Lepisosteus oculatus: one gene and its partners. The protein of the gene in region 3 binds, or shares a complex with, the protein of the main gene of each other region. Links are inferred from orthologs where the notes say so. Each region holds a gene or a part of one and is shown on either strand. Other genes may lie near its edges. The genes, in order: smek1, ppp4cb, ppp4r2b and ppp4r1.

Region 1 (7,326 bases), on a different chromosome or scaffold from region 3:
CTTAGGTCTCAACATACAACTGCATGTATGAGTTTAAGGGACAAACTTTGCTTAAATTTAGTACACAATACAAAAAATTGAAAATATTACAAATATCATTGAAATCATACAAAGCATATTCATTTAAATTTAAAACCAAATTAATAAACTACAATACATTTAATATGCATTTTCTTTAAGGCGTCAACACTTAAAATCTAAAGAACCGAGACTTTAAAAAGTTACACTTTCAAAGAAACTTACCTGCTGCTTCTGGTAAGCAGTGTTAGGGTTTATTTTTGACTCCAACAAAAGAGAACCTGCAAAAAAAAGCAACATTACATAATGTGTTCACTGGTACCCAATAAAGAGTAAAATGAAAGAATTCAGTGCAATTTATTAACTCAATGTCGATATCTTTATCCCTTTGCCATGCGTAAATCACAGAGTGCTTCCAATTTCATCTTGACACAGGGCCCTGCAGTTGGCCATGTCCTCAGTCCAAGAACAGGGGTAGGAAACTGGCACAGCATAAGAATGCAGTCTATGTCACACCTGTCTCAGCTACTCTTCAGCACTTTTAACAATGAATGGCCTATAGATAGGAATTGCAGATCATGTCTTTGATGTAAACAAAACTTGTTTTCTAATGTATCAAAGCATAAACTGAATACAGAAAAGTTAAAAATATTTCCTTTGTCACTCGTGCAAACATTTTAGTTTTCCGAAATACTGGGAAAAGTGCACACAATTCAATCACCAGTCTCCATGAGCTTGTTACCCATTGGTGGCAAACATTTTCATGCCATCAAAATCATCTCAATACTTTTAAAATTAATGTTACAAAATGAATTACTTCTGATTTCAGAAAAGCAACCACTCCATTCAACAAAGGGTGAGGTATATTCACTCCTTGCCTACCAAAATTAAATTTAAGTAACACCTGCAATGTTCCACTTGTGTTGATGAAATGGAACCCCAAATGCAGTTTTAAAATTAAGGAATAACCTATTAAAAATGAGAAAAAACACAAGAGACGGCCCAAGGTGTCATGGCATTTTACATTACACAATTAACCAGATTCCTTGAAAAGACTGGAGCATTAGTGCCACATAAGGTTGTTCTTTTTCAACTTTAGGACTTGGAAGAGCAAATAATAAAAAATACTGTACAAGTTAAAAAAATCTAAGGCCGATCTTTTAATTTGTTAACAATTAAAGACTGCAAACTGTACTATTAAATGTACAAATTGTTCTAGCACATTTTAGCTGTGCTGCCATTTGTAATACATAAAAACTAAAATCGCATGCTCTAATTGTAGACACAATGACAGACAACCTTAGGCAGTACTACAATTCATCCTGCACGAATATAAGAAGCTTTGATAAGACGATTAGAAGAATCTGAAATCAGTACCTCTGGATGTAACTCAATAGCTTAAGAACAAAAAAACAACGTCTAGAATGTCAAAATGATCAGTAAAGAACGAGAAACTGATGAAAAGTTATTATTCCGGTCCAACTGGTATGGCGCTCGGACGAGTTGGTGCAACTCCTTCAACTTCCAACAGGTTACAGGCTGAACAAGCTGCAGGAGCGCAGCAGGACGAGCAGCCGAGCAGCGGACTGAAAACAAGCACTTTCAAGCAGCACGTTTAGAGGATTTTTTTTAATCTAACGTTGCGTTTTCGATACTGTTACCGAAGATCCAACACTGCACGTTCAATAAGAGACTGTCTACATTATAAGAGCTGCAGGCACAACTCTTCAGGACAATACAAACATGATTCAGTATTTATGAGGCTCTCGGACCTCGTTCTGTCAATACCTGGACACAATAGATGATGCATTCAAATACAAGTCTGAAATAAATGATTGGTTTTGTGCAAATCCTTGTATCTTTACTCAAACCTGGAAATCAGAATCTATGACGCCTTTGTTGTGCAATCACACGTTAATAAGGAGATGAAAGGTGTAATTTTGTACTTGTGTACGTAGGGGTGGACAACTATAGAGGGCATTAAGTACGGCAATCGCACTAAATAGCAGGACACTGGAAACTCAATGATCCTCGGCATGCACCCCCATTATCTGCAAGGCTGCATCTAGTGATCGAACCCTAACCCTGCTAAAACAATACAAAGACATACATGTTGTGCGGCTTTCGCCCAGCGTTACATCCCCCTGATTTGTAGAGCTGTCTCGGTTAAGACCTCGAAAGCACAAATCAAATCACTGCTTACTAAGGGAAAAGCCAGGCGACGTGTTTACACAAGTATCCGCGCAACTTTCAGGCACCAGCGGCGCTTAAAACCAGATCGAAACTTTACCCAGGTCTGCAAGCGAGCACTAAAACCTGTTAACAGAACCTTACTTTGGGGGGGGGGCAGCTACTGGCCACTTACCGTCACTCTCGGCCCGCACTAGCAAGGACATGCCTTTCAATCTCTCCACGTAGCCGGAGGACACATGCCCGGTGCCCCGGTCGTCCCACTGCCGATCTTCGTTAAGGGTGTAAACCTTCACTCGTCGCCGAGTGTCCGTCATTCTGCTAACCCACCCCGCTGTTCACACCCGAAAACACGCTTCGTCGTCCACCCCAGAGGCGTCGGACCCTCGGTCTCCGATCCTTAGCCCGGCCCGTCAGGGCGATCAGACGGCTAGCCTACTACAGCGCACACTCGCCCAGCTCGGGAGGGCGGCCTTGCTACCGAGGGCTTCAGGACGCTTTCGCCATTTTACCTCAAGTTGCGCAACCCTGTAAAACACTGCCCTTCCCGCTGCACAAGAGAAAGAGAAAGCGAGATATAACCCCGGCTGCACAAGGAGGCCACCAACGAAATTCGGCAGAAGGAGAGGGAAAGAAAATGTTCAGAGCACGACTGGAGAATCGGTGTTGTCGACAGCCCTTATCTGCGCGTATTTCTCATTCTTGGAAACAATGAACGCTTCATACAGAACCGCATGCGAGATCGACTGCATTATTTCCGCGAAAGGACGTGTCCGGATCTTTAATTTTAAAGGCAGCCGGCTGTTTTTATATTTATTTTCTATTATTTATACCCCTTCCCTAGCGTTCCGCCATGTTCTGTCCTCGGGCCGCGGAGAGAGACTAGCCTCTCCCCACAATTCTGAACACATTTAAAAATTAAATAAATTCAACCGGAATATTACTTGAACTCCCTTTATACGGAACCCCCCACGCACGACTACAGTTTCTCTTTAATTCCCAGTTTTATTTTATAATTACAGTTCCCTCAATCAGAACTCCGCCATCTTGGGTCCCCTCAGAGTGCCAGCACGGGGTCTCCAGCCCAGCGGCAGCAGGGGCAGCCCGCCACTATTTAAAGGAACAGCGCTTTCAATCGCACCTTTCAGACTCTCCATGTTCGGGTTACCAACTACTTTGACATCTAAAAATCAGTAAGGGCTTGTAATATCGGAGCCAGATAAGACTTTTTTTCCCAAGAAGTAACTGTAATTTACAGAATATTACACTGATGTCAACAAAGCCCCCAAATATTTGTATTTTAGGAGCTTGCAGGACAGATAAACCCATGAATGCCAATTAATTTTTTAGCTGTATGTACATCTGATTTAGACGTGTGCAAACAGTAAACAACAGATATAACATGTAGGTGTGGTAAAATATAAATCAAATCAATAAAATGACAATTAAGGTGGAAGTGAAAATCAAAAACTGTAGGAACTGAAACAATGTGAAACATGTACCGGTAGTCCGGATACAAAGATGAAGTCCCCCTGTTTGACTACCTATTCCAGGTTTAGAAGCAAGTACATTTTGTAAATTACATGACTAGTTTCAGAATAAAACATTAGTGGCCTACAGAAAAACAGTGGCTGCAGGATGTAGCCGAGAGCCCCAGGTGCTTCTCGAGCAGGTGCAAGGGGCTTGTGGTTTCTGTGGCTAAGGGGAGAGGTTAGAGAAGGAACGGGCTCTGGGGTTGGGGTTGGAGGGAGCAGGGGGAAATGGGACTGAAGATTTTCAGTAGCAGAGTGGCCCGAGCCAGAAATCAGACACGAGTGTGGTTTTGAATCCTCTATGTGCAGAAAAATAGAGTCTGCGGAAGGACTGGTCTCATCTCACTAGATTTTCATTTTCTATAATTCAGTATAATGCCCGTGTGCCCTGTTTATCGACCCAAGACTCGTATCTCCTCTCCAACCAGACATTTAAGAATTTTAAGTTATCTTACTGTTGCTGTGCTCATTTAATAGGTTTATTTTTAACAACTAGGCCTCAGACGTTCCTTATAGGATCCCATCACAAAGAAGAACCTGCTTCCCAAGCAGTTATATTACCCTGCAACTCTCAACTGCCAACACACTGGTGACCCTGGTCAGTACCTGGATAGGAGACCTAGGAAAGTTAAGGTTGCTGCTGGAAAAGATTGGGGCCAGTTGGGGGACGCTCACCCTATGGTCTGTGTGGGTCCTAATGCCCCAGTATAGTGATGGGGATGTAAAACCGGGGTCCTGTCTCTCTGTGGCCATTAAAAATCCCCGGGTGATTCTCAAAAAAGAGTAAGGATGTTGTCCCGGCGTCCTGGCCAAATTTCCCTTTGGCCTTTTTTGTAATAATTCCCTCCTAATAATCCCCATCTATAAACTGGCTTCATCACTCTGTTCTCCTCCCCACTTGATAGCTGATGTGTGGTGAGCGTACTGGTGCACTATGGCTGCTGTTGCATCATCCAGGTGGGGCTGCACATTGGTGGTGGTGGAGGGGAGTCCCCATTACCTGTAAAGTGCTTTGAGTGGAGTGTCCAGAAAAGCGCTATATAAGAGTAAGGAAACATTAACATGTTGTGAAGCTGTCTGACTTACTGTTGTTTTTATGGCAAGTTTGTGTCTTCAGCTTTTATTTTGATACACTAAAAATAGTTGTGTTTTTTTTAAATAGCAGATAATGCTTTACATAAAGCATACATTCAGCTGCTTTTGTTTTGAGCATCACGGTGGCACAGTGGTCAGTATAGCTGTCTCACAGCGCTGGGCCCCTGGCTTCAATTTTTGGGGTGCTACCTCCATGGAGTTTGAATGTTTCCCCTGTGTTTGTGTGGGCGTCCCCCTACAGTCCAAGAACATACCGATTGGGTAACTGGCTTCTGAGAAGACTGGCCCTGGCATGAATGTGTGCCCTGTGATGGACTGGCATCCCATTCATGGTGGCTCTTGCCTAGCACGCGCTGCTTGCCGGTTCAGGCTCCAGCTGTCCTTAGGGCCTGTACTGGAAAAAGCAGTTAGATGGACTGGATGCTTTTGTTTTAAAGGGTGAAAAGCTAAATAAGTTTGCGTTGAGTCATCCACACAGCTGCCCAATAAGCAGTGCTCTAATCATTCCAAGGTGGATTTTTTGGGGGAGGGAGAAGACGTTCAGACCCTTACACTGCTTTGATACCAGTCGGTAGGTTGTAATTGAGTTTAAAGCTGTATTGCGTTCTGCCATCTGAAAGCCTTAACAAAAATGGTCATGATTTCCCAGCATGCTAATGTTGATTAAGACAATTAAAACATCACAAAAAAATGGAAAATTCCATTTGTTGAAAGATCATAAACAACAGTGGTATTTATCACAAAGTCTATTTTGTATCTGACAATTTCAAGGTGAAGAAAAAGTACTAAGGTTTTTAAATTAAAATAAATGGAGCCCACAAACCACAACCTAGACAGTTAAACTAAGAAATTATTACATCAGCCCAGTACAGTAAAACACCCAAGCAGTATTCTGTTTTTGAAACCAGCAGAGATATTTTTTTTGGTCTCCATGGCAGCAAACTGTGATATGTAAACAGAATGTACTTTGCAGTGTGGAACTAAGTAAACCATTAATTGTATAGTGAATGAGGACAGCACAGTCACAACAAACAAAAGTCCACTGCAGCTGAAAGAAAGAGCTGGAACGGTTTCTATGTGAAACAAACAGCTAACATAAACAATGTCAGCAGGCATGCAGTACTTGTGTTGTTGCATAAAGATTCAATCTAAACTGAGAATTTAGAGGGCCCAATCTCTTTTTGCATCTTTAATGAAGTCAAAAAAGAGCCTTTGTTGTCTGCACTATGGAGACACAGGGATCACCGAAACGGCCACATGACTGGCCATGCGATGGAAAACAAAACTACCATCATGATCAACGATATTATCATCATTATCAATAATAATAATACTATTATTTTGTGCCTTCCAGTCTCTACTATGGAAGTTAACAAGAAAACAAAGTGTTTTTAGCACAGGAGCAGTCACAATCCTTATTTAGTGAAGTACCTTTTGAAAGCGCGAGAATTACAAAGGAAAATTACAAACAGTGCAATAATACAGAGCAGTGACAACCAACATAAAGAAGAAGGATCCACATCCGAAACGTTGTTTCCCGTCCTCTCTTTTCAGCATGTTACTTTCAATTCCCGCTGTATATAAAAAGGTTATGCATTTATAAAAATAATGATTCATTCTTCTAAGCTGTTACAATCTAGGGGACACTCACATTCATGGGGCACTTTCAGTGAAAACATACTTCATTGGCCGCAAGAAATCTGAAAGCTATAGTGCAGGCTGGAGAGGAGAGGTGTGTCTTCAGTTCAGTTTTTAAGGACGGAGGCCAAGTGCCAGTGCTCCCAGAGAGGGGTGCAGCCTCCTCACAATGAGAACCTCCCTAGTGTAGTACTTCAGTTAGTCACCCCTGAAATAAAACACAACTGGCAATCCTACTCAGCAAAGGCACTTATTCATACCCTCCCCGCCTTCTTCAGACTCCTTGTGATACTAGAGTGCATTGCTCTGTCTGACTAAAAGACTGTTCTTTTTTTTGCTGCCACGCAATCACAAATGTCAAAAACTGTTTCGTCAATTATATTGTTCTTTGTTTCCCTGTAAAGCCACATTTCTCACGCCGATTCATCTGAACTCTAAGCCCCAGTTTGATGAGGCACATGGTGACAGAGCAGGTCGCACTGGTGTCTGAAATGCTCTCGGGTTTGGGGTCAAACTTGCTTCTTGTATTCAAGGAATGGGCGATGCGCTGTCACAACTTTAACCCAGAATTAGCAGATATCTGAGAGTGAAATGATGAGTTATTGGTTTCATAAGGTTATAAAACCAACCAGATGACAAAGGTGGACTTGTTTAGTTAGTAAGCTGACAGTACTGATTATGAATTCCAATTATTTCCTCTTATTCTTTGTCAACATCCCAAACTTTTATGCTTAACAACAATAGCATTGCCTTATGGTTGTAGCACAAATGGTATCTTTTACTAAATATTACCTAATAACTCTTTATTCTCCTGTTAGCTGTTTTAAGCTGCATAGACAAGGAATGATGAATC
Region 2 (8,174 bases), about 48 Mb from region 3:
ACCCCAGCAGGAGAGCAGGGGCTCCTCACAGGTAGAGACCAGTCCCTGCGCTGTGAGGGGCTCTCCAGACACACAGACCCCAGCAGGAGAGCAGGGGCTCCTCACAGGTAGAGGAGATCAGTCCCTGCGCTGTGAGGGGCTCTCCAGACACACAGACCTCAGCAGGAGAGCAGGGGCTCCTCACAGGTAGAGGAGACCAGTCCCTGTGCTGTGAGAGGCTCTCCAGCCACACTGACCCCAGCAGGAGGGGCAGCAAGAGAGCAGGGGCTCCTCATAGGTAGAGGAGACCAGTCCCTGCCCTGTGAGGGGCTCTCCAGACACACAGACCCCAGCAGGAGAGCAGGGGCTCCTCACAGGTAGAGGAGACCAGTCCCTGCGCTGTGAGGGGCTCTCCAGACACACAGACCCCAGCAGGAGAGCAGGGGCTCCTCACAGGTAGAGGAGACCAGTCCCTGCGCTGTGAGGGGCTCTCCACACACACACAGACCCCAGCAGGAGAGCAGGGGCTCCTCACAGGTAGAGGAGACCAGTCCCTGCGCTGTGAGGGGCTCTCCAGACACACAGACCCCAGCAGGAGAGCAGGGGCTCCTCACAGGTAGAGGAGATCAGTCCCTGCGCTGTGAGGGGCTCTCCAGACACACAGACCCCAGCAGGAGAGCAGGGGCTCCTCACAGGTAGAGGCCAGTCCCTGCGCTGTGAGGGGCTCTCCAGACACACAGACCCCAGCAGGAGAGCAGGGGCTCCTCACAGGTAGAGGAGATCAGTCCCTGCGCTGTGAGGGGCTCTCCAGACACACAGACCCCAGCAGGAGAGCAGGGGCTCCTCACAGGTAGAGGAGACCAGTCCCTGCGCTGTGAGGGGCTCTCCAGACACACAGACCCCAACAGGAGAGCAGGGGCTCCTCACAGGTAGAGGAGACCAGTCCCTGCGCTGTGAGGGGCTCTCCAGACACACAGACCCCAGCAGGAGAGCAGGGGCTCCTCACAGGTAGAGGAGACCAGTCCCTGTGCTGTGAGGGGCTCTCCAGACACACAGACCCCAGCAGGAGAGCAGGGGCTCCTCACAGGTAGAGACCAGTCCCTGCGCTGTGAGAGGCTCTCCAGACACACAGACCCCAGCAGGAGAGCAGGGGCTCCTCACAGGTAGAGGAGATCAGTCCCTGCGCTGTGAGGGGCTCTCCAGACACACAGACCCCAGCAGGAGAGCAGGGGCTCCTCACAGGTAGAGGAGACCAGTCCCTGTGCTGTGAGGGGCTCTCCAGACACACAGACCCCAGCAGGAGAGCAGGGGCTCCTCACAGTTAGAGGAGACCAGTCCCTGCGCTGTGAGAGGCTCTCCAGACACACAGACCCCAGCAGGAGAGCAGGGGCTCCTCACAGGTAGAGGAGATCAGTCCCTGCGCTGTGAGGGGCTCTCCAGACACACAGACCCCAGCAGGAGAGCAGGGGCTCCTCACAGGTAGAGGAGACCAGTCCCTGCACTGAGAGGGGCTCTCCAGACACACAGACCCCAGCAGGAGAGCAGGGGCTCCTCACAGGTAGAGACCAGTCCCTGCGCTGTGAGGGGCTCTCCAGACACACAGACCCCAGCAGGAGAGCAGGGGCTCCTCACAGGTAGAGGAGACCAGTCCCTGCGCTGTGAGGGGCTCTCCAGACACACAGACCCCAGCAGGAGAGCAGGGGCTCCTCACAGGTAGAGGAGACCAGTCCCTGCGCTGTGAGGGGCTCTCCAGACACACAGACCCCAGCAGGAGAGCAGGGGCTCCTCACAGGTAGAGGAGACCAGTCCCTGCGCCGTGAGGGGCTCTCCAGACACACAGACCCCAGCAGGAGAGCAGGGGCTCCTCACAGGTAGAGGAGACCAGTCCCTGCGCTGTGAGGGGCTCTCCAGACACACAGACCCCAGCAGGAGAGCAGGGGCTCCTCACAGGTAGAGGAGACCAGTCCCTGCGCTGTGAGGGGCTCTCCAGACACACAGACCCCAGAAACACTGAACACTCACTAGGAATGGGTGAGACTTGTGGGTGAGTGAATGGGTGAGACCCAGGAAGACGGGCCGCAGGAACTTTGTTTACTTTGTCCCGGCTGGAGAAATCTGCTCTGCAGGGCAGGCGAGTCAAGACGACGGATCAACACAGCCCCAGTCCCCGACCACTGCACGGCAGATCCCCCGTCACACACCCTGCTGCCCGGCTCCTCTCTCTCTCGTCGGAACCACCGACGTTTGTCCAGAAAACGGAACTTGCGGTGCAGGACAGTCCCTGAATCCTTATAATCGCCCCCATCTCCCTGGACCAGTACCGGTACCGGCCCGCCCGTCCACCCCCCGGTAAACAACACCGCGTCTCACAGACAGCCGGGCGGCAGCGGCTCGTCCGGGTTCGGCTGCAGGTCCAGTCTCGGCCCGGTCCAGTCCCGGCGGCGGGACACACACACACACGTACACGCGCGCGTTCCCGCGCTCTCCCGCCCCGGGGCTCCGCGAGCCGGGCGGCCTCACGGCGCCATCTTGGAGCGACTCCGCTCGGCCTCCTCGCCGCCTCCGCCCGGCCTGTCCCCCCGCCGGGGCCCGGCTCGCCGCCGCGGCCCGGCCGGGGGCCCAGGGCGCTCCGCTCCGCTCCAGCAGCGGCCCTCCAGCCCGGCGGCCCGGCCCGGCCCGGGAGCGGGGAGCGACTCGACCCCCCCCGGGCCCGGCGCCTCCGCCGCCGCCGCCAGCCCCCCCAATACACACAAACCGGCTCAGAAACCCCTCGGCCCCCGGGGAGCGGCCTTACCTCGGCGTCCAGGGGCCGGCAGGGCAGCAGCAGCAGCAGCACCGATAGCAGCGGACTCGTCTCTGTCCGGGAGTCGGGAGGCCGGTCGTGCGCAGATCCGCGTCTGTCTCCCCGCTGCGCTCGGCCGGCTGGAGCTCCGCTTCCTCTCCGCCCTCGGGGACGCGCGGCGGCGGCGGCGGCGGCGCGCACGCAGGGCTTCCGGTGTCGGGAGCGAGGCTCGCTCCCGGGCACGGGCACTCGTCCGGGGACGCGCAAGAGCAGGGATTATTGGCGGCGGCGGCCGACGGGCTGTGGTTTCAGCGGCTCCTCCGCCTCCTCCCTCTTATATGCGCTCTGGTCCTCGACGCCACCGCCGGCAGCCCCCCGGCTCCTGTTGAAATTGCTAACAGCCCGCAGCAGCGCTGGTTAGGGAACGAGGTCGCTCATTCGAGGTTCAGGGGTTCGGGCCTGAAGCGCCACCTGAACCCCATTCCTTAATAAGTCACGGAGCACGCAGGAAAATCGAGGTTTTTTTTTTTGTTTTGCTTAAGAAAAGCCAGGGGTGTTCATCCTTACAGCCCTGTTAGTATTAACTAGTTAGCCCTTCTTCCATTTTGGTAAAAATTAAAAACAACAACAACAACAACAATAACACGTTAAAAAAAAAGTTTTTTCTCCCCGCTCTTGCTCGCACGGGCGAGAACAACCACAAGATGGCGCCGGAGCGCCAACCTCAAGGCGCGAGCCCCGTGCCGGGCAGGGGGCAGGAAATGACGCAACAAGGGCGGTGGAGGGGGGGGGGACGCCCGCCGCGGCTGGGATGACGTCAGCCCGCCCGAAAGGCGCCGGAGCTGAGCCTCAGCCCCTCTGCAGGCGAGGAGGCGGTGCTGACACCCCTGGGGTACAGAGTGGGGTACAAACTGGAGGGGTCTCCTCTCTCTGCAGGCGAGGAGGCGGTGCTGACACCCCTGGGGTACAGAGTGGGGTACAAACTGGAGGGGTCTCCTCTCTCTGCAGGCGAGGAGGCGGTGCTGACACCCCTGGGGTACAGAGTGGGGTACAAACTGGAGCGAGGGGGGTCTGTCAAGGGAGAGGCTGGACAGATGGACACACACTCCCCTGCGGGCCAGCAGGCACAAAGCCCTTTGCTGGTGCTGGCGCAGAAAGAACGAGCCTGGCAGGTGATCAACTGCTCGTTCCACACTCCCACCACTCTCTGTGCAAGGACAGGCTCAGTGACCACAGCCTGGACACACACACACTGGACACAGGCAGACCTGGCTGTCCAGAGAGGACAGGCTCAGAGACACAGCCTGGACACACACACTGGACACAGGCAGACCTGGCTGTCCAGAGAGGACAGGCTCAGAGACACAGCCTGGACACACACACACTGGACACAGGCAGACCTGGCTGTCCAGAGAGGACAGGCTCAGAGACACAGCCTGGACACACACACTGGACACAGGCAGACCTGGCTGTCCAGAGAGGACGGGCTCAGTGACACAGCCTGGACACACACACTGGACACAGGCAGACCTGGCTGTCCAGAGAGGACGGGCTCAGTGACACAGCCTGGACACACACACTGGACACAGGCAGACCTGGCTGTCCAGAGAGGACAGGCTCAGAGACACAGCCTGGACACACACACTGGACACAGGCAGACCTGGCTGCCCAGAGAGGACAGGCTCAGTGACCACAGCCTGGACACACACACTGGACACAGGCAGACCTGACTGTCCAGAGAGGACAGGCTCAGAGACCACAGCCTGGACACACACACTGGACACAGGCAGACCTGGCTGTCCAGAGAGGACAGGCTCAGAGACACAGCCTGGACACACACACTGGACACAGGCAGACCTGGCTGCCCAGAGAGGACAGGCTCAGAGACACAGCCTGGACACAGGCAGACCTGGCTGTCCAGAGAGGACAGGCTCAGAGACACAGCCTGGAAATACACACTGGACACAGGCAGACCTGGCTGTCCAGAGAGGAAATAATAATCAACAACATCAACATCATCACTTTATTAACCCTTCACAATTTCTTGCATTAGGAATGATCTTTTCACATACCCCAGCTTGCTCTCCATGAGACACACAGACAGAGAGAGAGCCTGGGGTCAGAGCGCAGGGTCAGCCATTGTACAGTGCCCCTGGAGCAGTTGGGGTGAAGGGCCTCGCTCAGGAGCCTAACAGAGTAGGATTCCTCTGCCGGCTACAGGATTTTGTTGTAACAGAAGAAATAAGGTTCTTGATCCCGAGATGAAGTGAAACAGATGAGTTTATTGCATGCAAGGAACAATAAAGCCGAAGTCTTGTTTCCCGCAAGAAACAACAAAACCGAAGTATTGTTCTCCGTATTGTTACAAACTTTTGGGTTATATAGTGTCTTCTTCTCCGTTTCTGACGTCACTCGGTCTGATGGTAAAGAGGGGGGTTCATGGTATTTGGCCAGTTTACGATGTTCTGGGCAAATGGTCAGTTTAACATTACACCCAGGGGGGTTCCTAGCTGGCATCTGCACTCCTTATCAGTGAACCCCCTTTCCTGCCATAAACCCCAGCTTGTGACTTGGAAGTCTAAACCCCCTACAGAAAAGATTAAATTCAAACCCCCGTCTTCACATCTTTCTTCATTCCCCCCTTATAAAATATGGCATACGTCAGTGTAGCCTATTTTATACATACAATGTCAGGGCAGATCTTTCCTTTCTTGGCGAACAGGTATGTATTGCCATGACATTGTACGTTCCACGGTTATGGCAAGATGTGATACATGTTTTTGTGCACGTGATGATTACAATTATACATATAAACAATACTACTCCTACAGATAAACACTATAAAAAGGTTCCACCCCAGGCCCCAAACACAGACTTTACCCAAAACCCAATTCCCCAATTTTCAGTATAATAGTCCTGATATTTCTGTCCCTCATTGTAAATGTGTTGGGCCAGATCTGAGATGTGCTCAGAATTATCAGGAATATATGTGCAGCATTCAGTGCCAATTACTGCACAAGTTCCTCCTTGGGCCGCCAGTACATAATCTAAAGCTAGTCGGTTCTGCATGGCCACTGTTCTGAGGGCTACCATCTCATCATTAACAGCCTTCAGACTAGATGAGGTAGACTTTGCTAATTCTTCTAAAGTCGAGGCCATTTGAATTAACTCTCGACTCAGAAAGTTCATGCCGGCTTGTGGAAATATTATACCTAAATAATATTCCCAATCAGCCAATTTTCTTTGTGGTCTGTGGTTAGGTCCGAAGGGGCTGTGGGTTTGAACACGGATATGAGGAACCACATATCCTAAATAACATGAGCCAGACCACTGGGCTGGCAGCCATGGGTAGGCTCGTTTTCCACAAATGAAATATGTTCCGTTTGGCGCTCCCCATGCCTCTGAAAATAAGAAGCTTATACCGAATTGTGGGGTGTGCCGATCCCATCCTGGAATTTGGGAGGTAGAGGTGGATATATTTGCAGCGCTGGTAAGGTTGCAACGACTCCATCCAACCAAGTGCAGACCAATTAGTGTGCTGAAAACATATGTTTCCCTCACGTTCCTTATTGAGAGTCAGGTATGGTGGTGTATGGCTTCTGTTATATTTAGGAGCGTAAGAGCCTGTGAAACTCGTGGGCTCTAAGCCTCGCTCCTGTAGATACTGTAATGTTGTGCAGGTTAAAGTCGTGTTATGGCAACCCCCATAGTTTGTCATATTAAAATCTCCTAAATTATCCCTCCAAATGATCATGCCTATGACTTCCTCGCGACGCCAAGTAATGGCTCCCATAGGAAGTCCTCCCTGTACATATTTGGGTAATGCGGCACACACCCAGCAGGCACTTTGGTTGGTTTTCTTAGCTGTCAGATAGGAGAGGCCTAAAAAGGAATTAATTCCATGTTCTCCTTTGTGGGAGAGATGATCATGAATCCCTGCGGAACATAGTCCTACAGCAACAATTATTGTTATAAACAGAAATGATTTCATTCTGAGTCTGTAAATGGGGATGAGGCTCGTCGGCAGTGTGGCGCGTGGATCCAGCGATCTTTTCCTTCCACTCGAACCGCAGACTCGGTTGTCAACAGGATCTGGATCCCACCTGGGCTGGAGAACCTGTGAAGGAAATTTCCTGATCCACACCCACTCTCCTGGGATGAGCTTGTGCCCTCCTTCAGGTGGTGGTCCCCACGCCTCCAGGACCTGCTCGCGGGCTCCTTGGGTGGCCTCTGTCAGCTACTTGCAATAATACAAAGGAATGGTTGATCCCTCTGAGGAAACCCCAGTCTCAGCACCTGTAAGAGAACTTGTTTCAAATTATTAAAGGCGGCTTTTGCTGCAGGAACCAAGGCAATCTTGTCCTTGTACTGCACTCCCCCCTTAAGCAGATCTGTTAAGAGTTGTGCTCACCCTGCAAAAAACATATTACCCAGGCCCTGTTAAAATTTCACAATGCTAGACACAAAAGGGCCTTATCATAACTGCTTCTATTAGACACTCTAAAGCTGAAGCAACTCAGACTTGTGGGTTTCCTCGTCAGGGGAAGCACTCAGAATACCATCAACATACTGAGTGATCACAGCCAGTTGAAGCCACGTGATACCCTGTTCTGCATAGTCATTCTTTGTAATGCATAATATTTCAACCCAATAGATCTGGGATCAAACCACCCATTAAAATCTGGTACTCGGCAAGTAAAACTTGCTGTCCCAATACTCCTGTGGCCTCCTGCCATCTTCCCATATACATTGCTCTATAGTACACTGTTGAACAGAGGAGTGAAACAAGCAGGACAGTAGTGCTCCAGTATCCCCTAACAGAGAAACCAACACTCCATTAACAGTACATTTTTATTCACTGGACTGGGACAGACTTAGGGAGGCTACAAGGGATTTACAGGATCTAATCGTTAGGTAAACAGATTTTCTCACAAGACGTTATTCTCCCCAGTCTCGATTCTAAACCTACAGCGTTTCAGCATGTCTGGTTTCGAGACATTCGAATAAAACCAAATTGTTTCCACTATTGCAACTAATTGTATAAATTACAATTTATAATAATTTATAATAATACAAAAACTGTTTAACTACTTTTACGTCCACCTGTACTGTACTTATACGTTTCAGACGCTCTTATATTTTCCAATCTCCTTAAGTTGATTTTCGTCAAGTCTCTTTAGTTACGTCTCTAGCCAGTCCCGCTGGCTAAACACACTCACACCGTCATTTAGTAGACCAAAACTCACAGTTACACACATACATGCCGGCACACAAATTCATAAAACACACATACACATCGAGAATATATTTTTCTCTTCGTAATACAATGTGCTGTATTCTTGTTTTACTTTTACATGAATCCTTTTAATTCCTGAAGCGCACTCCAGGTTCGCTGCATTTCTAATTTCGGGTG
Region 3 (7,640 bases):
AAAATTTATATTTTTTTTTCTCTGTCGTTAATGAATTTATTTTGTTACGGAGATTTAATAACCACTTGAAAAATTGGGACTGCAGTTCCCCTTTAAATGAAGTAATAATCTGTCATAAATGGACATAAAAATAGCTTTTGAAGACATAAAATGACTGCACAATGATGATTGTACCAGAATGAAACATTGCATTATGTGGTCTGCTTCCTTCTTGTCTTGTTATAAATGAAATGTATTCAACTTTTGAAAAAAGTATAGTACAGTGACTTATTTCTCAGTCTAGCACGGAGTTACAGATGTTAAAGAACATAAATGAAAAATCAGTGGTCCACAGTCCTTACAGATTTACATGGGTCATGTGGTTTAAAAAGAAAAGCAAAAAAACCCTTCTTCATTCCTTTTTATTCATTGTAATATTTCATTTGCAAGGTGCGTTCTGTGTTTTTATTGTAAGGCTTTCAGAGATGTGAAAGTACTGTTGGCTTTTCCTTGTTTGTGTGCCATCCCTCAACAGCAGAGTGCACAGAACTGGCAGCTGGCACACAACCAGGAAACATACCAAGAGATCAGTTCTGCTTTGTGGTCACACACAGTTACTTATGAGGCCTTGTTAAACATGTCATCCATTCATTCAGCTATTAATTTTTTCACAAGGACATACTGTGTCGCTATGTTTTATTTGCAATACAAATTCTTATACGTTTAGCAAGCCATTCACATATGGATGTATGGACAAGATATACCAAAACATCTGTGTCTTGTACAGAACCCAGTTTCCTGACGTGTGTGTCTGGAACAGGATGCCTAGCCATATTGTTAAAACTGTCTCTATCAGCTGTTTCAAGAAATGCTTGGATGAGATCTTGCGGTCAATTAACAACTACTAACCAAGTGAGCAAGAGGGCCAGCTGGCCTTCCCTCTCCTCTCACCAATCTGGTGGTCCCTGTGTTTCAATGTCACGGAGGTTGGCTCTGGAAAAATCCTTAGTATAATCCTTAAAGTGGTCCAAAAGAAGTATTGCTCAAAAATCTGTGCCTGTTTTAGGTTGAATATTTCAGTTTGAACAGGCAGTATCAGTGAATGTGAATGAAGTATTGGTCCTCATCTAAACACATTTCAGGAGTATTTCTGTATGCAAGTTCTACTAAACTTTGCATACTATTTGTCTTTTAGACTTCCATTCATCTGTCCAGTTTTTAACTGTTTCTTCCAGTTCAGGATTGCGAGGGAAGCTGAACCCTATCACGGCAAGGAATGGGCACAAGGCAGAGTACACCCTGGACAGGACATCAGTCCATTGCACGGTAGAAAGAAGCACACAAATTTTCAGGGCCAATTTTCCCAGAAGCTGAATGATCTACCAGTATGTTTTTGGACTGTGGGAGGAAACCGGAGCACCTGGAGGAAACCCATGCAACTCTGGGGGAGCAAACTCCACACAGATAGCAACCCAGGAATTGAACCCACAACCCCGGCGCTGTGCCACTCTGCTTCCCTTTGATACTTTTATTTTCCAAAATAAAGCAAATTTTAGTGGATTGCAGATAAAACTATTATAGGCAGGTAATTTCCATATCCAAGCCACATTAATTTATCTGGCCAAAACTTAGCAGACTAGAAAGCAGGATCCCCCTGGGGTGTGAGATTACCCCAGCAATGATGGTGTCCACTTATACAGTGGGGTGGTGCAATTAGGGGTAAAGTACCTCACTCAATTTAAAACAGTAGTGAGACCCACAATCCAGACATTTGCCTGATACACTACTGCTCCCTAATATTATCATAGAAGTTTATTTTGTGACTTGGGAAGGGTTTAATCCACTTCTTCCAGGAGGCTCTGATTTTGTATAATAAAAGGTATTTTGGAGTATTTATATTAAATTAAGAACTGTAAGTGTTGTTTATTTTTTCAGCAACTTTAATTTTCTTTTACCTCAATATTTTGTGTTAGTTGCAAGAATTTAAAAAAATTGCAAAGTACTGAGCACTGTTGCTTTTTTCAGTGGATGGAAATCATCTTTTTGTATATCAGTATCAGAATTTAGTTTATTGTCCACACAGAGTGGGATTTTTCTATTGACCTCACTGAGACAACAAATGCAGAAAACATAAAACATCTAATGCACTGGAGTTGTATACAATAAATCCCACATAAACAACAATACAATAAAAAACATATAAGATTCAAATTTGTCCATACATATAAATATACTGTAAATACTGTGCTCTGAAGGAGCTCATACATCAGAGTTTAAAAGAGTAATGACACTCTGAGCAAATGAGTTCTTAAAAATGTGTTTTTGTAGCCTTCAGGATTCTAAACTGTTGACCAGATGGTAGTTTTTCAAACCAAGAGTGTAGTGGGTGTGAGGCATCATTTACTTTTCCTGCAAACACTCTTTGTATACAAGTGGTTCATCTGGTTCCATTTCTGAACAATACTTTTGCTGCTCATATTTATAATCCTTCAGTGCCTAGCTGTACACCTGGTACCAAGAATCCCATACCAAGTAGAGATGTTAAAAGAGAGCACATTCCCTCCCAGACTTGTATAGACTATCTTTGGATGTGCTTGCTTTCATCAAAGCTCCTCAACCTTCTCAAGAGAAATAATCTCTGCATGGGTTTTTTTTAAAAAAACCATGCTCTGTGTTGTCTAAGAATTTTAGTTTGTTATCAGTGTACTGTATGTACCCAGATACTTAAAAGGAAGAATGTCCACAAGCTGACAATTTATATTTATAGGCTGAAGTGTGGCTGGCTCAAATCTGCCTAATTACAAATTGGTGTAGCACTAATTCTTTTGTTTTGCTGACATTTATTTCCAAAGTGCTTGACTGGCTCCACTTAATAAGAGTTAATACTTTGTCAAAGTAAATGGTACTGAAGAGAAATATGAAACATACTTCTCATCCCCACCTACAAGTAACACAGAAACAAACAAAAAAAACATTTGAAATACAGGCTTTTTCTGTTGGCTTTACATCTAAAATATTTTAAATATTAATATCATAATGTATTTTATTGGGATTTTTGCCACAGATTTACACAAAATACACTATAATGTCAAAGTGAATACAAAGTTCTCTCCTAACCCTCCTACATTAACTAGAAATATACAACATAAAATATCCGATTATTACATTCTGTCTATTGACATCAAATTTAAGACAGGGTATAGTCCTATAACTCATTGACTGCTGAAACACTAGCAACATACAGAACACAATGCAATAAAAATGGCCCACTCTGCTTGTAGTTGTCAATGGTTAACCTAAGTCACTGACTGAAAAATTTCAACTCAGCAATAATTCATGTGGGGAGGTGAATGAACAGCTGTTCAAGAGAACAGCAAATAGATGCTACTTTACAGTAGCATGCTTACTATCAATGTATGGTACAGTAGACGGGGCTTGACTGCAATAGTTTCTAGGTAAGTATCACCAAAAGTGAAAATTCATAAAGACAAATCATCTGAAAAACTGTGAGTCAGTCGAGTTGGTAGTGCTATGAGCCTTCTAAAAATGTATTACAATGATGGGATTAGTTTATACAGCAGAAAAGCAAAATGTCCATGGTAGCTTAAAGTACAGCAGTGCCTCCTGTGTGAAATTAAAAAATAGATAAAGCACTTAATGGCACAAAAGTAGTAAGTAGAAAAGAGGTGCACAATTATAAAAGCCTCCCTTAAACTACAATAAGCATGTGCAGGGGTGCCCCTAGCAGTCTTCCTTGGGGGTGCAGCAAAGTCTTCAGTTCTACATACTATAGATGCACCTCATCCTATCTTGTACATGTTCACATAAAGTAACCTTATCAAGCCCACGTCTCAGTATTGCACACTTCTCAAATGATACACATTTAGCAATATTAATATTGCAATTACAATGTAGCCTTTTGGAAACAGTAATAAGCCTCCTACATTTGATGCAGTACAATTAAGGTAGTACTAAATGCAGTAATGCTGTAGTGTAAATAACTGCAGGCTTACAGAACTGTCACTCTGTTGTAACTCTACAACACTACTTCAATACTGCAGTTTCTATTTTTTTTATTGTACAGTGACTTGTTTTATAGACATAGCTTATTAAAAGCAATTACATTGAAAATGGCACTAGTGAATACATATTTAGAAAATATTTAGAAAAATATCTATTCAGAAAAAAACGAATTAAAATTATTTTCTCTTGAAATTTAATGATTCAAGAAGTTGTTCTGTTAAAGATTTTCGTGCTGCACGTTGTCTTGGATAATGTCTTCCAAATACAACAACGACAGTATAGTAATAGAAAATCTTTAAGCAAAAAGGCTACCTTAAAGCTATTGACTACACGGCTGCAAAAGAAGAACCTAGCAAACTTCAGAGAAGTCGCAATCCCCTGAGAAGCAGTTATTGATGGGTCTCTCCGCGACTGGCTGGAACCAGCTGCCCGGGTTTAATGGTGTTTCCAGTAGTACAGTAGTGAAACGAGGTAGGATGAGCGCCGCCTGGCAGTTCGCACATGCTCAGTGTGTGTGCAGGCAGGCAGTGACGACACGGGCGCCATATTGAAGTGCTGATTTTTTGTCTCGGACGCTGCTTGCCAGCTTTCTGTTTCCTGTTGGATTCAGGAGGAGAAAGAGACGGAGTGAAGAGCTTCAAACATTTCACGCCACAATCATGGAAATCGACACACTTCTGGAGGCCCTGAAAGGTTGTGAAACGTAGACGTTACTGTCTTTTTCGTTCCGGCATTCGAAAAAGTGTGAATAGAAGTGGTCGGAACGGGATTAGGATTGAAGAGTAGTAAGGTGTTGAATGTGGCTGTTGTTGTGTGTGCAATTTTAGAATAAATTTAACTAAGGGCTATTTGGATACCTTATTATACACTTTAAAACAATAGTCTTCTCTCAGGGAAGTGTTTTGAATCGTTTTGGTGTAGTCTAGTTGTGTTATAATGTGCACTTTTAACCCCAAGCCGGTAACCAACGTTTGTAGCTGTTGTAAAACTACATGCTCAAATTCAAACATTTTAACTTTAATCGTGTGTTTTTCTTCATGTTGCGCCGGGAAAGTTTGAGAATTTCCTGCAGACAGCTGATCCTGATGTGGAGTTTTATTTTGCTAGTTCCTGTCAGTGGCTGTAACTTTCCTTGCAGCATACGGTTAACAGACACCTAGGCTGTGTGGGACCCAACTGATGTGGCTCTTACTTTTCCCCCTTTATCTGTCTTTATGTGTAGATTTTGAGAAGAAAGGCAAGAAGGATGTGTGTCCGACGCTGGACCAGTTTCTATGTCATGTCGCAAAGACTGGGGAGACCATGTAAGTATATTTACTGACGAACCGCACGCAAGAGGCCTAATGTGTCTCAGGAGTAGAGTAACAGACATGGTAACGACTGTCTCCCCAACGGGGATCGAGAGAACTGCAGTTTGGATATACATGTCTCATGTCTGTAGTAACCTAGACTACTGCTGGCTTACTTTGTATCCGAAATATCTGATCAAATTAGTCTTTGAAGAGGACAGCCTGCTGAGAACACCGCTATATACTTCTAAAGGGATCAGGGGAACCTCTGGTTTTAAACACCTGTTAGCAAAACAGGACCGTATAAAAGCAGATGTGTAGTTATGTGAGCAGTTAGAAATTAAACAATATATGGCACAATAGTCGTTTAATTTTGTATCTGATCCGTAGTAGGTGGGAGAAATGCTGATTCAAGTGTAGTTTTGTTACAGTCTTTGGATAAAGATATTGATCAGTGCCCTTCGATTTAAGTTTCCGTGCTTCATTTAGATGGAGGAATCCTAGCATTGTTTAATTTCTCACCTGAAGGAGAGAATATTTTATTGCTTGCAGTGATGTATTGCAATATGTAGAATATATGAAAATATGTGTTGGAAACAAGTTTTTAATGCACGTCTTAATGCAGTCTTTATTTAGAGCACTTTCCAAGTGAAAAACAACTCCTTACACTCTGCAATATTACACATTGCACCAAGCTGACCTTTTTTGTATTTTATGGTAGTGTTTTGGTTTAAGTCACGGTGTTGCACTGACTGTGACCTTTGCATTGTGTGTGCACTTTTGTTCCTCTTATTTCATTGATGCCCCTCCTTCCTAGATTTGAACAAATATATAGGACATTTTTTGCTCTTTCATCAAGAAGCTAGTATGGCTAATACACTTGATATTGTGCTTAACAAGGGATTTAAATATACATTTTCCCTTAAAACACCCCTTAATCTATCATCATGCCCAAAGTGTTTTCTTAATTCCTGAAATTGAAATTGGAAGTGAAAATAAACTTGGCTTTACAAAACTGGAATTTTAGATTTTCTATATTTTTTTTGGCCCGTTTACGAAGCTGAGGTGGATCGGTGATCTGTTCAGTGTTATTTAACAATCTGGTTGTAAACTTTACAACAGCTGAACTGGGGCATATGAGCTGTCACTTTAGACATTTTAATTGGGTCAAATTTGAAATTTGTTTATTAATCGGTGAAATAAGTTTCTGCAAAATATTTAAGCAGATTGTAGTGCTGTTACTAAGTCACTGATGATTTACACTAAGCCATGTCCATGTGTAATTATTAAACAACTGTAAGTAAAGGGAAATAAATATAAATTTTGTGTTGGTGACCCTGGTTTATTTGTTATGTAAGGCATAGTGAATTTTATGATTAAGATTGCAAAAGTAGCATATTGTGTTTTCTGAATACTTTTGAATAAAATTCAAAACCAGGCCTTAGATTGCTGTTAATTGCATCTCAACTAATTCGTGTGAATATTTAAAGCATTTTAGATGCTTCTCGTTATCTACATTTGTAAATTATGCCTTATTAAATAGTTAAAACTAGTTTAGTATGCTGTAGTTCTTTAAAGTAGACTTAAGTCACACTTAAGCAAATTAACTCAAGATTTATATTAACTTATTATTGTACCTTTGATCAAGTTTTCAGACCATTTTAGTCCTCATATTAGGATGAATGCGTTATAGTGAACAAAACTAGTGTAATGCCTTTTTTTAAATTAAACTGTATAGGCCTAATTATAGGCCTTTCAGTTAGGTTGATATAAGTAGCAGCGTAGCAGTAAAGTGAGCTGCTTACATAGTGGACTGTAGATGTATATCCATATAGGTAAAACAATATAATAAGCAGAAATCTGGCAGTCCTTTTTAAAGAAATGCAAATGGCAGTTTTTGTTAGACATTGACCGTTTTGTTTTGCAAGTCTTTGTGGAGAGTTAATTATATAGCACACTTTACACATGTTATTTTGTTTGCAATTATACATTCCTTAATATATAATTCCATGTGTTTTGATGATTTTCAAGATTTCACTCTTATAAAAATCTTGTTCATAAACAAGAAGTTTGTCTCAGAATGAATAGCAAGTCAAAATACACAGAACTGTCCTGGATTTTATTGTCTAATACAACGATGTTTGGTTCATCCAAGTGTGTTGCAAAAAACATTTTCTGACTGTACAGATGTAAAAAAAAATACACTAGGATTATTCTGAGGATTACATTGCATGTAATTGGAAGGTCCTGCCTTTGGTTTAGAATGCAGGCCATCTTGATAAATGTTCATAGTGGAAACAGAATGTTCTAAACGCTATGATTTTTGCACTTGTAATGTTTAGAACAATT
Region 4 (8,100 bases), on a different chromosome or scaffold from region 3:
GGGTCTATCACTACACCAAGTGATTAATAGTTATTTTAAATCTTGAGCTTTACCAGAGGCCTAAGGATCTTTGTCAGGTATATATCTGGCCTGCATTATTTACCATGCAATGGCAACCATATTCAGTTATAAACCTATCTGTGATCTTCATTTTCGTGCAAGCGTGAATATGCAACCAAAACAACTGAAGATAAACAAAGACAGAGAGGCTTCAATACATTTCTGCACTGCAGACCAACGTTTTGCACAGCTGTTGTAAATACAGTGTGAATTGCTTGCTAGAGCAAAGATCAAAAAGTCACTGGGATTCTCAGCAGAAGCTGTTTTAAAACTAGTTCATTTTTAACCCTCATGCATGTCGTGGGCACCACGAGACAACCTAAAATAGAAACGATCTTAACCTTTTGGAACCGTGCAAATAATACGAGCTTGCATCCATGTGGAAGAACTGCACTGCTACAACAGTGGATCCTTTAATCCACTCAAATGTGTCAAACAGCAGGGGGCCCAAAACTGGATTAATTAAGAGGTCTAGTATTTCACTGCCCTTGGCCTTTTAATCAAGTGAACGTTACCTACACTTCAGAATCTTAGCTTGTGAGCAGCACCACACCAGTAAACCAGCAGGATTATAGACACTACTTAACTGCTACAGACCACTGAATCAGGAAACCACACTACTCAAGGGTATTTAGAATTTATTAATTAAGAAAAGGATTAACAACCACTCAATATACAAAAAAGTTTAACCGCCATGAAACTAATCTCACATGTATAGCCCCATTATAAGCAATTCTAAATTAACCACATCATGAGATTAAAATGCAAAGTTGTAAGAATCACAACAAGTGGGCGACACATGGGAGTGAGCCCCAGGACAAGCACAGTAGAGAAGAGAGGACCGAGTGAACCAAGGTGATCTATTACTGCTCGGACTCCCTTTGCCAAGTTGAAGGCGGAGAAGAGTCGGGGCCTACCTGAATCCTCTGCCAGCCGGCTCACTCTCTCCAGCACAGCGATGCAGTCCCGTTCATCCTCGCTGACTGCCTTCAAAGTGTCCAGCAAACTTCGGGCCACCATTTGTCTGGAGAAACCGAAAATGATACATCATACCAACTGGTTCCAGTCGGCCGACAGCTCAGGCCACTACACCAGCACAAGCGCAGCAGCACCACGGTGTCCAGGGGCTTCGGTGGCTCTGTTCTTTCACCCTCTCTCTCTAGCACAGCAGTACGCTGGGATCTCCAGGGGACCTGTCTTGACTTCACGTTGAAACAATACACAGCGAAAATCATACATGCAAAGAATGAAAAGGAGCAAGACTGATTAGATTTGCAAGTTGCAAAGGTGGGAAAAAATATGTAAAAAGCCCAGAGGTTTGCCTGGACATCAGACAACAGGGAATGGACAAGTTTCCAAAACACAATAAATTAAATACGATTCAGCAACAGTCTGAGGGAACAGAATGAGGCAGCACTAATCATATTTTAATTCAAAGTCGCAGGCTAAAAAGAAAAACGTTTTCTGGCCTCTGGCATACCTGTTAAAAATGTTTTCGCTTGCAACGTATTTATCCAGTCTTCCTAAAGGTGTCAGCATCTCATCTTGAGAAACAAAGTCCAGGGCTGAAGGTATAATAATGACATCAGACTCTGAGCTGTAGTCATCCACACCAACTATCAGAAACATTGGAAATACGGGCTTACAATCATAAAGCAGGCAAACATTTATCAGAAAATCAATGATTCTTACATCAGTGAAGCTTGTTTCTTGTATGCATAGAAGCTTTAACTATATACAAAAGAAACTTCAAACAAAACCAAAATACTTCAGAGCCATGATGTTATGCTTATATAAAGTGCCTGGATTAACAAGGAGAAAACTGTTAATGGAAGATTTACTAAAGGAACCCGTTACAGTTGCTGGCAGCAGCAGCACAGTTTTCCAACAACTTTAACTTCCATCGTAACATCCTTTTCAACTGCAACAGTTAAGGTGCAAGTTCTTTAGTAACTGGTGAGGGCGAATCTAGTCTCCATGATACTTCAAAAGACAGAAGCCTGCTCCAGATGTGTTTTTTATTATTCTTTTACCGATGTATCTAAAAGGAGAGTACGTTGCACAACTTACTTTAACTTTCATCAATAGGTAAGTAGATGCTAAACAAAGGAAAACTTTACATCCAATGCACGAAACCTGGCGGTGAAGAGGTTAAATACTTCCATGTATGGATCGAAACAAAACAGCCGTGAGGAGGGGCGTGTTTTGTTTGTGAAGCCTGCTCAGTTCGACAGTACCGATGGACGACGGATTACAACATCCCTGCCAGGGTGCAACACACTCCCCCTTCGCTACCACCACAATTGAACTTCAACCACCAGCACTTCTTCGGGCACCACTGGCGAACCCACACACACACACACAAAAAAAAGAAACTCGTCACACACGAGAAGCCAGCAATTCACTCGTGAAGTGCAACAGCCACTTTTCCCGACCCCGGTGGCAACGTCTCGCTGCTGAACACAAGACGCGAAGCCCGCAGGTCCGACTCTCAGCTGCGAGGGGTTTGCAATCGCCCTGCAAAACACACCGACACGCCGCTGCCCTGCGGTGCGCTGTCCGCCGCCCTTCGGCCCGGCTGCTGGTACCGTCGTGACTTTTGCGATGAAGGAGAGTCCACATGGACCGCCGGCTGCGTCGTCCCTTTTCAGTCTGGGGCTACAGTTTCTCCTCCCCGGCGAGACTCCTCTTCGCCAGAAATCCCTCCTCGCCTTGCAAACACACTTCCAGGGTGGCTGTTTTTCATACGTTTTCTGTCCCCTCCACGTCTCTTTGGGGGGGCGACAAACCCTCGCAGCCGCCGGCTTGAACCCGTGTCCCCCTTCCTTGCTTGCCCGCTCTCTTTCTTCAGGAAACCCAAATAAAATGGGTAACACGCGTCTCCACCCCCCGAAAAAAAACATGCCCCACCGGGGCAGCCCAAAACGAGACGCTCCAAAAACTTTTTTTTTTTTGCTTTGCTTTTGTATTTGTAAAAGAAGGGCTGGTTTCCGGATGCTAACTCCCTAGGCCCCGCAGACCAGCCGGGAGCTCCTCCAACAACACACCACCGTGTATCATCATCATCATCATCACCACCACCGCCGCACTCGGTCGCGGCGAGAAAGTTACGGGGAGAGGAAATTAAAAAAAAAAACAGCACTCTCTTTCTCTCCCTCTCTCTTGCACAACACACACACACACACGGAAACTTACATCCGTCTATCTCCTCCTGCGAATCTCCCTGGAGCAAGGACAAATCTGCGAAAGAGAAGACGAGAGAGAGAGGGAGGTCAGCCGCCGGCCCGGCAGCCCCCTCCGCCCGGCGAGCACGGCTCCAGAAACGGGGCAGCGACGGCAGGAGAGACCGCCGCTGGCGGGACGGCGAGGGTCTAAAAAAGAGGGGGTTTAGGGGGGGCCAGGCTCGAAAGGGGAGCCGGAGCGGTACGTACCCGCCATCTTGTCCTGGTGCTACATTTAAAGTGGCCTCGGTAGCTGAGGCAACAACCGGAGAAGCAGGCGGCGAGGGGAAAGAGGAGAGCGGCGCAGCCCGAGAGAGAGAGATGGGTGGACGGAGGGCTTTCAGCGGCGCGGCGGAAAGCACGGCGCCCTCTGGCGGGCGGCCGCGGGAGCAGCGCGGCGCTCGCTGGGTCTCCGGCATGGGAGACGGATGGGGCGGCCAAGTCTTTTCTGATCACAGCGCCAATACAGAACATGAAGAGAAAAAAATATATATATTCGACTGAACAAAGCCATGGAGACAATTTTACGAAAATGAGTCCATTCACCCAATCCAAACAATAAACAAGAATGTGCATAAAACCGTTGTAAACTTTTATAGCACCCAAGTACAGAACCGCAACATTTATACCTCAAACATTTTGCTTCCCTGCTATGTCCTTCACAGTCTGTTTAGTAGAAGTCCAGCCTTTCATTTAGTGTCAAAGGGGGATTTTATTTTCCCAATTTTTGGAACAGTTTTAATCCTGGATCTTCTCTTTCCTAAATTTGCGCTTTGTTTCTTCTCTAGCAGAGTCATGACTTGTTTCTGTATCACCTCGTTCAGAAGCAATATCACCCGGCAGCTCACCGCTGGCAGCCCCACTGGAACTCAGCAGGTGTGAGCCTGGCCAGTACCTGGATTGGAGACTCCATGGGAAAGCTGAGGCTGCTGCTGGAAGAGGTGTTAGTGGGGCCAGCAGGGGGCGCTCTCCTTGCTGTCTATGTGGGTCCTAATGCCCCAGTATAGTGACGGGGACCACATTGTCGACCCCATGATTTCCTGTTTTGAATATGGTTAGAAAAAGTCCTGAAACAAATACATTCATATACTGTACATATAAAAATGTACTGTATAAATTCCCTATGTAGCTTAATGACAAACACATCTTTAATAAACATACGTTTATGATAATTTGACACTCAGAAACTTTTATATTCCTGGGAAAGCGAAGGCAGCTGCTGGAAGAGGTGTTAGTGGGGCCAGTAGGGGGCGCTCACCCTGCGGTCTGTGTGGATCCTAATGCCCCAGTATAGAGGCGGGGACACTATGCTGTAAAAAGACGCCGTCCTTCGGATGAGATGTAAAACCGAGGTCCTGACTCAATTCAATTCAAGGTACTTTATTAGCATGACCGATGGCTCTCTGTGGTCATTAAAAATCCCAGGGCGTTTCTTGAAAAGAGAAGGAGTGTAACCCTGGCGTCCGGGCCGAATTTCCCATTGGCCCTTACCAATCATGGCCTCCTAATAGATAATAGATAGATACTTTGCTGATCCTGTGAGGGAAATTGCAGAAAAGCATCGCCCGAACAGGGACTTGAACCCTGGACCCTCAGATTAAAAGTCTGATGCTCTACCGACTGAGCTATCCGGGCTCTTACACGCGTGAGCTATGAACTGGTTTCATCGCTCTGCTCTCCTCCCCACTGGGAGCTAGTGCGTGTTAAGCGTACTAGTGCATCATCCAAGTGGGGCTGCACACTGGTGAGGGTGGAGGGGATCCCCATGACCTGTAAAGAGCTCTGAGTGGAGTGTCCAGAAAAGCGCTATATAAGTGTAAGCAATTATTATTATTATTATTATTATTATTATTATTATTATTATTATTATTTTTATTACTTTGTGCTGTTTCAGCACCGAAAACATAAACCCCTTTCACTGCATCATCCCCAATTAACAATTTGCCTTTTGACAATTGAAATGCGCATGTGGCAAAAGGGGAAAAAAAAACTCCTTCGACGCCTGTGCGAAGACAGTACTGGCGTTCACTGACAGTACTGACAGTACTGGCGCTCACAGCCCGTTCTCACGTATGGAATTACGCACAATCTGCCCCCCCCTCGTTGTCCGGCTGAAACACCGTCTCTTAAATATTAAAATGCAAGTCCGCTGTTGGCACATGACATATTCAGCAACACGCCTTCCTTTCCGTGCAAAAAAAAGTTACGCTGATAGCTTAAGTAGGGTTTCACAATGGTTACAAGCGAGAGGGAGTCACGTTTTGCGAAGGAAGCCAGGGGTACTAGCTTTAACAACACGGCCGACTCGCTTGTTCCAGACTCCCACAACCCTTCGTGCAGAAGAAAGTGGCTCGTGTGCCCGGGTTTTAAGTACCCTTCCACAAAGTCTACACTTGTATCCTTTAACCCTCGTTTCATGGTTTATTCATGGTGTAGGCCGCTGGGTTGGTTTTAATCGGCGACTTGCAGGATTTAGAATACTTGCATCAGATCCCCTTGAAGTCTGCCGTGTTCGAGACGAAAAAAAAAGTTTAGTTCCTTCAGGGGAAGGATATTGTCAGTCAGTGTAGGACATTATTTTTAAGTCCAGGTATGTCGTTTCCTTTTTTTTCTGGACTGATTCCAGAGCCGAGGATATCTCTTTTTAAAATATGGTGAGCAGAACTGTGCACAATGCTCTCGGTAAGAGCTTACTGGTACCTCATACAGTTTTAACATAGCAGCACTCGATTTAAATTCTGAGCTGAAAACTGCATCAGAATGTTCTGTTTGCTTTTTAAATTTCCTTGCCTCAGTGTTTGAAAGCGAGCATTTCGTATAGTACCGATAAGCCGGAGTCAGTATTGTCTGGATAAAAGGGGAAAAAAGAGAGCGCATTTTACAGCTCACATTTCTCTTCTCGACGCCCCGTTGCAAATTGGCTCTTGAAACCCAGGTAATACGGCTCCCTCTTGTGGCAAATGAGTACATTTTCAAAATGCACGGAGCTAAACTGGCACTACACGGATTCCTGAAAGGGCCCTACATTCTCACCTCTTATCTGAATCTGTACGGCATTCGGTTGAGAAATGCAGGACTTAAGATACTCAATACATCTAGCCCATACCCTCTGTCACAGAGTATTTGTCTTTTTTTCACAGGCCGTATTGGAGGAGACGTCTCCAAGTCACAAAGAAATGGGGAGATGAGTCAGTCGTCACTGCAGAGTGACACAGCTCTCAGCTGATCAGTACCGAGAGCTCAGTGCTGTACATAATCCACTCATCGCCAGGAAGTCCAGGCTTTAGGTGGGTCTGTGGCGTCACTATGTCAGAGATACTGCCAGTGTTGCTCTCCAATATGCTGTGCGTAGTGGTTACAATTCAAACGCGAGCAGGGCTCTAGGCTGTATTCAGAACGAATACTGTGGGGTTCTTGGGCATAATAATTCTCTGAATCAGATTGAACTGTAATGACATGCTGGCTACTGGGTGAGAATTGTCCGTATCCTTCCAATTTTTGTTTCTTATCATTCATTATCTTCCTTAGAAGGAGGATTTTTATTTTTAATTTTTATAGCAGCATATATAACGCCTTCAGAAAGTCTTCACATCCCTTGGATTTTATAAATACATTTATATGGGATTTTTTCTTTGTGTGTCACTGACCCACGCAAGTTACTCTATAATGTCATATAATGGAGCGAACTTTATGGAAATGTGTTGCACAGAATTTGAAAGAAAACACTGAAATGTCTTGATTAAGTATTCACCCCCTTGGCTGTGGCTACCAGGTGCATCTCATTTCCTTGTGAGATCCCGGAAACGTGAATGGATCCCACCTGTGAGCTCAGTCTGCTGACCGTGCCTGTCCATTGACAGCAGTGCAGGAGGTACTGTCTTTGCCATGGTCTGACAAAGGTGGCTCAGTGGTCAGCACTGCTGACGTGCAGCCCTGGGGGGCTGTCTGCGTGGAGTTTGTATGTTCTCCCCGTGTTTGCGTGGGTCTCCTCCAGGTGCTCTGGTCCAAAAACATGCTGGTCAGTGAATTAGCTTCTGGGAAAACTGTCCCTGGGGCAAGTGTGTGTGTGTCTATATGTGCTCTGTGATGGGCTGGCGTCCTGTCCAGGGTGTGTGTGTGCCCTGTGATGGGCTGGTGTCCTGTCCAGGGTGTACCCTGCCTTGCGCCCTTTGCTGGCTGGGATAGAGTCCAACTTCTCCACAAACTGGATGAAGCAGGTGCTGGAAGTTGTGGAAGCTGTGACATGTAGGGGCAGTCCACCCTGAAGCTTCAGGATATGTTGTCCAGGTCAGGCAATTGTACACTAGCTCACAGCCGAGTAGTGATGTAGAATTGAACAGACTTGATCCGCACAACTTTATTTAGAGGTGAATCTGTGCTCTGAGCTCATTTAAAGGTTGAGTCGATCAGCAGCAGCACGCGATCGACTTCTTTTCTTTTTATGGTACTCCCGTTTTTGAAACGCTGGACATTTTGTTTTTATTTTCAGGAATCAAAATGAGGCGATTAAAAAAAATGAGTCAGCCTGGCAGTATAAGTACACAGGCGAGCCCCAACATGGACTTACAGTGAGCTCTATCAAAGAGAATAAGTTTGAGTCAGCTTCGGAAAAATGTGCTCCAACATTCAAATGTTCATACCTGCAGTATCGATTGACCTCTCATTTAAAGGACACGTTACTTCATAGAAAACACGACCTCAAAGCCTGTGTGGTAAAACATGTGGTCTGAAAAGACCTTAGAAAAGACCTTGCTCTCTCTCACTTGAAATAAGGGCCCACCACACCGAGCTGAGCTGCAAAAACTCACACGTCAACAAT

Evidence for each region.
Region 1: ppp4r2b (region 3) and smek1 share a complex: the UniProt entries of both Homo sapiens proteins name them as parts of the PP4 complex. The link is inferred for Lepisosteus oculatus from reciprocal best matches to the Homo sapiens genes PPP4R2 and PPP4R3A.
Region 2: ppp4r2b (region 3) and ppp4cb share a complex: the UniProt entries of both Homo sapiens proteins name them as parts of the PP4 complex. The link is inferred for Lepisosteus oculatus from reciprocal best matches to the Homo sapiens genes PPP4R2 and PPP4C.
Region 4: ppp4r2b (region 3) and ppp4r1 share a complex: the UniProt entries of both Homo sapiens proteins name them as parts of the PP4 complex. The link is inferred for Lepisosteus oculatus from reciprocal best matches to the Homo sapiens genes PPP4R2 and PPP4R1.

Annotation. Positions count from the first base shown.
Region 1 is NC_090703.1:20,030,086-20,037,411, forward strand, and holds the start of smek1 (serine/threonine-protein phosphatase 4 regulatory subunit 3), read right to left. Parts: upstream 3,292-7,326; 5' UTR 2,526-3,291; coding exon 2,384-2,525; intron 300-2,383; coding exon 244-299; intron 1-243. UniProt on the Homo sapiens protein: Regulatory subunit of serine/threonine-protein phosphatase 4. May regulate the activity of PPP4C at centrosomal microtubule organizing centers.
Region 2 is NC_090699.1:2,940,752-2,948,925, forward strand, and holds the start of ppp4cb (serine/threonine-protein phosphatase 4 catalytic subunit B), read right to left. Parts: upstream 3,374-8,174; 5' UTR 2,774-3,373; intron 1-2,773. UniProt on the Homo sapiens protein: Protein phosphatase that is involved in many processes such as microtubule organization at centrosomes, maturation of spliceosomal snRNPs, apoptosis, DNA repair, tumor necrosis factor (TNF)-alpha signaling, activation of c-Jun N-terminal kinase MAPK8, regulation of histone acetylation, DNA damage checkpoint signaling, NF-kappa-B activation and cell migration.
Region 3 is NC_090699.1:51,220,750-51,228,389, forward strand, and holds the start of ppp4r2b (serine/threonine-protein phosphatase 4 regulatory subunit 2-B), read left to right. Parts: upstream 1-4,545; 5' UTR 4,546-4,661; coding exon 4,662-4,695; intron 4,696-5,224; coding exon 5,225-5,306; intron 5,307-7,640. UniProt on the Homo sapiens protein: Regulatory subunit of serine/threonine-protein phosphatase 4 (PP4). May regulate the activity of PPP4C at centrosomal microtubule organizing centers.
Region 4 is NC_090701.1:56,539,208-56,547,307, forward strand, and holds the start of ppp4r1 (serine/threonine-protein phosphatase 4 regulatory subunit 1), read right to left. Parts: upstream 3,178-8,100; 5' UTR 2,964-3,177; coding exon 2,591-2,963; intron 1,677-2,590; coding exon 1,541-1,676; intron 1,085-1,540; coding exon 978-1,084; intron 1-977. UniProt on the Homo sapiens protein: Regulatory subunit of serine/threonine-protein phosphatase 4. May play a role in regulation of cell division in renal glomeruli. The PPP4C-PPP4R1 PP4 complex may play a role in dephosphorylation and regulation of HDAC3.